Linked DNA regions of Mus musculus. The protein of the gene in region 1 purifies or fractionates together with the protein of each later gene. This does not show direct contact. Links are inferred from orthologs where the notes say so. Each region holds a gene or a part of one and is shown on either strand. Other genes may lie near its edges.

Region 1 (3,561 bases):
TGCTTCTCTAATTAAATCATCCTCTACAAAGTTCCTTCAAAAGCCTTTGGAGACGCTAATCCATTTACATGTGACCAAAGCACATTTTAAATAGCCCCAATATATTGGATGCATTTTTTAGTATCATTATATTAAAGTAATAAGAAATTATCACTACTATTTAAACCAAAAGCTAACCCCCAATTACAGTACATTTTTTGTTGGTTTTGATTTTGCAGGGACCAGGGGTAGAGGGAGTGATGAGTTTTATGAGGTTTGGGGGGGGATCAAAGGCACTTGTGCATGCCAGGTAAATAATCTCCCACTGAGCTACTTCTTAGCCCTTCAATCTGTAAATTGATGATACGCCCCCTCTGCCTCACAATTCTGAGCTTAGTATCCAAAAAAAAGGATACAGCACAAGAAAGTGTCAGAGGAGAATTTGATGAGCAAGTGTTTTTTACTGTGTGTTATACTCAATGACCAACTTTTGTTGAGTAGTGATTAACATCTTAAAGTTAGTGTGAATTTTTAAATTGCTTTCCCACATAATCTATTCACATAAGGAATGTAAAGAACGGGCAAAACATAAAATGTCAACTGTTAAGTTTCTACTATATATTTTACAAGTTTCCATAACCCCAAACATGCATGACTGTGTTTCTTTCTTAGCAGTTTTGAAAGGTGGCAAGGGGTTACTGATTGAAGAAAAACTCACAAAGAACACTATTTTAACCTATTTCAGTAAGTTACCACTTACCATATTTTACTATTAGAATTACTATTGATCACTGATGATTATGATTGAATATTTATATCTACTTTTCACATGTAATTATGAAAGTATGGTTTCCAGAGTTTTTTTTATCCTGTAAGTCATGATTGATCAACTTCATTAAAAACTGTAAACAAACAAGGTGATGGTGGTGCACACCTTTAGTCCCAGAACTCAGAAGATAGAGGTAGGCAGATCTCTGAGTTTGAAGCCAGCCTGGTCCAAAGAACTAGTTCTAGGACAGCCAGGGGTACACAGAGAAACCCCCAATCCAAACAAACAAACAAACAAACAAAAAGGAATGATATCTAAATTTTACCTTGCCATGCATATTTCTTCCCATTCAAATCAATAGCAAAATCTTCAGGATAGAAGTCAATTATACTGGAATCCTGTTTCAGGAAGAAAGTAAAAGAATCAAAAACAAAAGCCACATACCTTGTCTCAAAAAACATGAAATAACTTTAAACAAAGAAAAGAGTTTTAGAACTGATAGTTATGGACTACATGCAGGCAGTGAAAGGTTTAGTTACTCAACATTTCCTACCTCCTGGCTGGGTCTCACTACGTAACCAGCACAAAAGAACAAGCTTAGAGTTAATTTTAGGTAAGTCAGATAGAATGTTTAAAGTTCTCATAGGGTTGAAAGAAATAAAAATCATTATGCAGGGTGTGATTAACTCACAACTTTAATTCTAGTACTGGGGAGTCAGAGGTTGATCTCTTTGAGTTCAAGGCCAGCCTTGAACAGGGGGAGTTCCAGGACTACATAGTAATTCCCTGTCTCAAAATAATAACATGTAGATTGAAAACAAATCAGTTTTATTTACTGGGTAGGAAACTCAGAGACAAAGAAAGTACAGAATACCACATTATGCAGTGAAAAGCAAAAAACACATTCTTTGCATATTTCAGCTTTTTAAAACTATGACATGCAAAGTCAACTTTGCCTAATGTTCCTAACACATTTGAAAACACTAAGACTTACAGGGTCACTCATGAGCTTCCGCCATGTTGGAGGTAGAAAGTTACCACTTGCAGCTGGGAAAACCCCCATTAGTTGTTCCAGTGGCTTAAACTGCAAGAGAGGGAAAGGTTAAAGACTCCCAATTATTATGAAATTCAAATTCCTACTTCTCATTGACTTGAAGCTTACCGGTTTTGTGCCCTTTTCAAATTCAGAGGACATGTCTGCAATACCTTCAAAGTCTGAGGCAAATGGTGCATAATGGAATGGATAATACCACTTCCAGGAAGCACAGCCCTAAAATCATTAATGACAATTAAAAGCAAAATACTCTTAATGATGAACATGGTTAAAAAAAAAAATTAGCTATGACTATCAGTCTATAATATCTTATTTGTAAAACATGATTTCTGGCATATACTCCACTCATTAATTTTTCTGAGTTCAAAATACTGTTTATAACTGTCTGCTTCATATCAGTGGTTCCTTTATTTAAAAAATATTGTAAACTTTCTTGAATAATCAGTAATTAATATCAAACTTTGTATTTACAAATACAAATTCACTAAGATATTTATCCTTAAAATATATTTGATGACATTTCTTTCCAATCTCAGAGCTTCTGTCATCGAATAAAACCAAACACGGTTTTCACCTGGTATTTACTGAACAGGTGGCAGTAGTAGTTGCGAACATCAACAGTAGCTGAGAATCAAACAACCAAAATGTACTATTATACTTCCATGTGGCAACTTTCTCTTGACTATAAATACACTAAAATCAAAACAAAAGCAAGTTGTGCTCATGGAAAAAGAGAAGCCTTTTTAGTGTGCTGTAAAACAAGAAGGAAGATCTTTCCACCACTACTCAGTGCACTGGACACACTGACCCAATTCATCTCATGTAAAATCACAGTAACATAAGAGAATTGTTACAATCAAATTCCTTTCAAATTTTTATTGGTACGCAACATACTGCATCTTTTCTTTAGTTTCTTAGTGACTTTCAAATGCCCAATTGGCTTTAAACTCTTTAAAAAAACAAACACACAAACCAAAACCCACTTAAACTTTAATAATATTAATGACCAACTCAAACATTGTAATCCTTAAAATCCTTTAACACAACAGAACCAAGTTTTATTGATAGACTAATTCTTAAGGAACTTCCAAGTCTTTACAAATATTATTCATGGTAATAATTTTTAGTAGTAAGTTTAAAACTACAAGTGTAGGCTTTATCTAAGGATATTCAATATTAGGTACAATTATAGAAATTACTTGTTTTCTAAAATGATTAGCCAAAAACTTAGGAGGAAAACTTCTTTTGATACCTGGTAATAATAGCGAAGAACCCAGCACAGTCCTTCAACGTAGGACTGAACAACCTTACGTCGGAATTTCTCATCAGCTGCATCTACATCAAATTTGTTCTTGTAGTATCGTTGCTTCCAACCAGCTTCCCATAACCTAAACCAGGTAAAGTAACATTATATTTAATTAATACATCTCTGACTAAAGATTGTCTACTGATTCCCAAACTGAATCAATTCATGTTTAATATCTAAGGGATATTGAAGAAGCTGAACAAAAAAGCTAACAGATTCATTAGCTTTCTAACCACTCCATTTTCAGCATTATCAACTTAAACATCAGAAACCCAAATACTGACTCTAATAAGTACATTAAGAAAATACATTTTAAAAAAAGAGGATAATCATTCATTGAGCAAATACATGATACTTGTCTGTGCCAATTTTAATACTGCTTTCCATATTTGCTTTAATTGTGCAATAACTCTAAAACTATGTTCTAAGATTAAAGTATTGAATATATTTTGT
Region 2 (4,186 bases), on another chromosome or scaffold:
CCACAATGAGGGTGCTGGGAACTGAACCCATATCCTCTGGAAGAGCAGCCAGTTATCTTAACTCCCGAGCCATCTCTCTAGCCCCCATGCTCTCATTTCTAGACCAACCACTGCAGTACACAACCAAGGAACCAAGGATGTAGCTCACTGAAGCCTCCGCAGTGTTTTTAAGAGTCAAGCATCTTTCTCTGGTGATAAGGATGGCAGCAAATTTCCAGGCTCAAATAATTCTCCTGCCTTGACATATGGAGTAGCTGGGACAAAAGGTGTCTGTCACTGTGCCTGGCACATCAAATGTCCTCAGAGTCTGATCAGCTGAAGCTAGAATCAGAATTACCAGGGACCTTGACTCTGGGTATCTGAGGTTTCACTTGGGAACCTGCCACTGCAGTATCAGTCAGGGTATGGCATCTGTATCCTGGGACTCAGCTCTGGTCGCTGTTATCCAGTTAACTTGCTGACTGCTGGGGGAAAGCTGTTTCTGTCTTTGGATTCTCATGTTTGGTTCAGATGTTCCAAGCCGTAGTGTCAGCACTGTGTCTTCCTGAGGTGAGAGCACCCAGCTTGGTGCTGGTCCTCACTGCTCTGGCATTTGCGGACTGGATTGTATTTCTGCCTGCTGGGATCCTAACACTGCCACAGAAGCCACAGAAGGGAGCAAGCAAGCAGTTGTAGGCCAGCTTGGCCGTGTATGACCCTGGGGGAGCGGGAGGGAAGGATCTGCAATAGTAAACAGTATATAATGAACTTCCTTGAAGCCCACTCACCACTTAAGACCTTCACTAGATCTGGAGGTCCTGAGTTCTAGGCTTTCTTCTGACTCAAGCTTACATTTTATATTTTTACATTTATTTACTTGCTTGGTGTGTGTGTGTGTGTGTACATCAAAGTACCACAACTTGCATGTAGAAGTCAGAGGACAGTTTTCAGGAGTTGGTTCTCTCCTTCCACCATGAGGGTCCCTCACAAAGTCCTTTAGAGTGGGGCATCCTGGGCACGAAACAAAATGCCTTGTATGTACTGATTGGATGATGAATACAGCAAGATAGGAGAACACAACCTCAGTGAAGATGTTGAGATAACAGTGGATCCATAAAAGAGAGGACCTCACTCCCAAGGGACAGCCACAGAACTTAGGGCAAACCTCAGGTGTGGCTGAGGATAGACAGATGCCCGGTGAACGACCCAGGGCAAAAAGGGCACTGCAGAGTCCCAATGGGCACCTAGCTGCCAGCTCTATGCTGGCGGGCCTCAAGCTCCCCAGCAGTTGCCACACACGCTGGGTTGCACTAGACCTCCGTGCCCCGCGAGGGCGCTCCAGATAAGTCCTCCAGAGCACTCGCCCTCAGCCGTGGTCGCTCTAGCCGTGCGGCGGCGGCGCGGGGCGTGTCGGGAAAGCGGCGGGCTGGTGCGATCCTTAGCGGCGGCAGCGGCTGCGGCAGCGGGAGCCATGGTGGGTGGCGAGGCCAGCGCCGCGGTGGAGAAGCTAGTTTCCGGCGTGCGGCAGGCCGCCGACTTCGCCGAGCAGTTTCGTTCCTACTCGGAGAGCGAGAAGCAATGGAAAGCGCGCATGGAGTTCATCCTGCGCCACCTGCCTGACTACCGAGACCCACCCGACGGCGGCGGCCGCCTGGACCAGCTGCTGTCCTTATCCATGGTCTGGGCCAACCACCTCTTCCTGGGTTGCAGGTGCGGACCCCCGACAGCTGGCTGACCTTGTCCCCATCAGTCGATCCTCAGCTTGGGCATATACACTGCTCCACGCTGAACCTGGCGCCAGCCTCCTACTGATCCCCTCTTAGCATTCCCTCGGGAAAAAAATCTCTCCTCTGAGCCTCGCTTTTCTCTTGTGAATGAGTGGTTGGGATGACTACAGCAGCTGAATGATAGGGCGTGCAGTGCAGGTGTGCTCCAAGGCGGCCGAATTGCAATGGTCATTGTTATTACTGTTTATTAGCCCAGAGGACTTCCTTTCCAGAGTGTGTTTGAAGTCTATTAGCTCCTGTCGCCCACGTGACAAAAGTGCAGACTCTTCCTCTAGATGAAGACACCTAGCAAGAGGATGTGATGTATCTCACCATTGGTGGGTTTCACGCTAAGGCAGGATGTAATCTTTTCTCCCCTTTCTCTTCTTGGCTTCCCTCTTAGGAAAGTAACCCATGCTATCTTGTTGCTGTCCTAACTCCCCGCCCTCCCCAGTCTTTGTGATCACACCTGGAAGGCAAGAGCCTGGCCTTGAGATATTCCACCTGGAAATGACACCAGGTTTTTATACTCCCTTGTGATTTTTAATTTTTTTTTAAAGATTTATTTATTTATTATATGTAAGTACACTGTAGCTGTCTTCAGACACTCCAGAAGAGGGAGTCAGATCTTGTTACGGATGGTTGTGAGCCACCATGTGGTTGCTGGGATTTGAACTCCGGACCTTCGGAAGAACAGTCGGGTGCTCTTACCCGCTGAGCCATCTCTCCAGCCCGTGATTTTTAATTTTTGAGGCAGTCTTCCCTTATAACTGAGACTGGCCTCCAGTTTACTGTGTAGCCCAGGCAATCCTAGAACTTGATCCACCTAGGCAACCACGTCCTGAGAGGCATGCATGGCCAGGCTCTTCCAGGCTTCTAGAGTTTCGTGAGGTTGTGTTAGAACAGGAGACCCTCACTCATACCTGATTTTGTAGTGGTCACAGGACCCCCTCCAGGCCAAACTGCTTGGTTTACTTTTTGGGTTTTGTGTTAGGGATGAAACCCAGGCCCTTACACATCCAAAATAAGCACTCAGTCACGAGCCTCATCACCAGTGCTGAAGCGGCTTGGTTTCAGATGTTGGGATGATTTGTCAGAACCGGATGTGGGGACGCTGAGCTAGACACACCCATCACACACACAGGCCCATCCTCCTTCCTGCGGTGCCCTTTAAAATCTGAGATTACAGAATCCAAACTCAGACACGTGACGGAGAACTGAACAAAAGGGATAAATGGTGTTATTTTCATGAGACCAACGTTCTGTGTGTTTTAAAAATAATCCAATTTTTAGGCCCTCAAATCTCATCCATGAATATGTACCACCAGGTATATGGTGCTCCTGTTTCTGTAATTTTAATTTAACTTTTTGTTTGCTTGTTTATACCTATTTTAAATTTTATACCTATGGGCATTTTGTCTACATGCCTGCACTGTAAGAGTGCCTCATGCCGTTGGAGGCCAGAAGACAGCTTTGGATTCCCTGGGATGGAAGTGCAGGTGGTTGTGAGCCACCTGACGTGGATGCTGGGAATTGAAACTGGGTCCTCTGAGAGCAAGTGCTCTCAACTGCTAAATTATCTCTCCAAACTCCTGTTTTTGTAATTTTTAAAAAGATTTTTATTTTATGTGTATGACTATGTACAAATATGTACCTAGTATCCTCCAAGGCCAGAAGAGGGCGTCAGATATCTGAGACCTGAAATTAACAGCCATGTAGAAACTGAACCCAGGTCCTTTATAAGAGTCTCAGGTGCTGTCTTAGCTGCTGAGCCATGTCTCTTGCCTCTGTTTTTGTAATTCTTGGAACATCTGCTGTATTGGCATTGTTCTCAAGCCTAGTTTGTCCTCACAGGCAGGAAGAACTATTTGTTAACTTGTATGCTAAGCACCTATGGTCTCCCCTGCAGTATCAAATCAGTCTTTACAAAGCTTGATATATACGCATCTGTATTCCAGCTACAGCGAAGGCTGAGGCAAACCTCAGATGGCATAGTGTGACCTTACCAGTGACCAAGCGGTTCTGTATTCTAGGGGTAGCATTTACAGTCTAATAACTACACTTTCTTACTAACCCGTAGTGACAGGTGAGTCTTCCCAGGTTTTTACCTTACTGCTTTTTATTGTGCAGTTATAATAAAGACCTTCTGGACAAGGTGATGGAAATGGCTGATGGGATTGAAGTGGAAGACCTGCCACAGTTTACAACCAGAAGCGAACTAATGAGAAAGGTGAGAGGCATTTGCAAGTGTAGATACCAAGGGCCCAGCTTACACTGCATTGTGTTGGTGTGCGTATTCTCCTTTCCTGCAGCACAGTCTTAAGGCCTTTCCTTATTTCTTCACAGTTGGTGTAAACCTTTTCTTAACTAGATAACAGGTCAGTGTGATAAATTATGCACTGTCTGTGGAGTAACAAGTGGGCTCAATCTCTTTGATTTGT

Evidence for each region. The genes of interacting proteins can lie anywhere in the genome.
Region 2: the proteins of Xrn2 (region 1) and Cdkn2aipnl purify together in Homo sapiens (co-immunoprecipitation; 6 studies listed by BioGRID and IntAct, with this or other methods). This does not show direct contact. The link is inferred for Mus musculus from reciprocal best matches to the Homo sapiens genes XRN2 and CDKN2AIPNL.

The regions. Positions count from the first base shown.
Region 1 is NC_000068.7:147,040,445-147,044,005, reverse strand, and holds part of Xrn2 (5'-3' exoribonuclease 2), read right to left. Parts: intron 3,191-3,561; coding exon 3,055-3,190; intron 2,019-3,054; coding exon 1,911-2,018; intron 1,833-1,910; coding exon 1,743-1,832; intron 1,147-1,742; coding exon 1,074-1,146; intron 1-1,073. UniProt on the Homo sapiens protein: Possesses 5'->3' exoribonuclease activity. May promote the termination of transcription by RNA polymerase II.
Region 2 is NC_000077.6:51,966,269-51,970,454, forward strand, and holds the start of Cdkn2aipnl (CDKN2AIP N-terminal-like protein), read left to right. Parts: upstream 1-1,362; 5' UTR 1,363-1,450; coding exon 1,451-1,689; intron 1,690-3,875; coding exon 3,876-3,975; intron 3,976-4,186.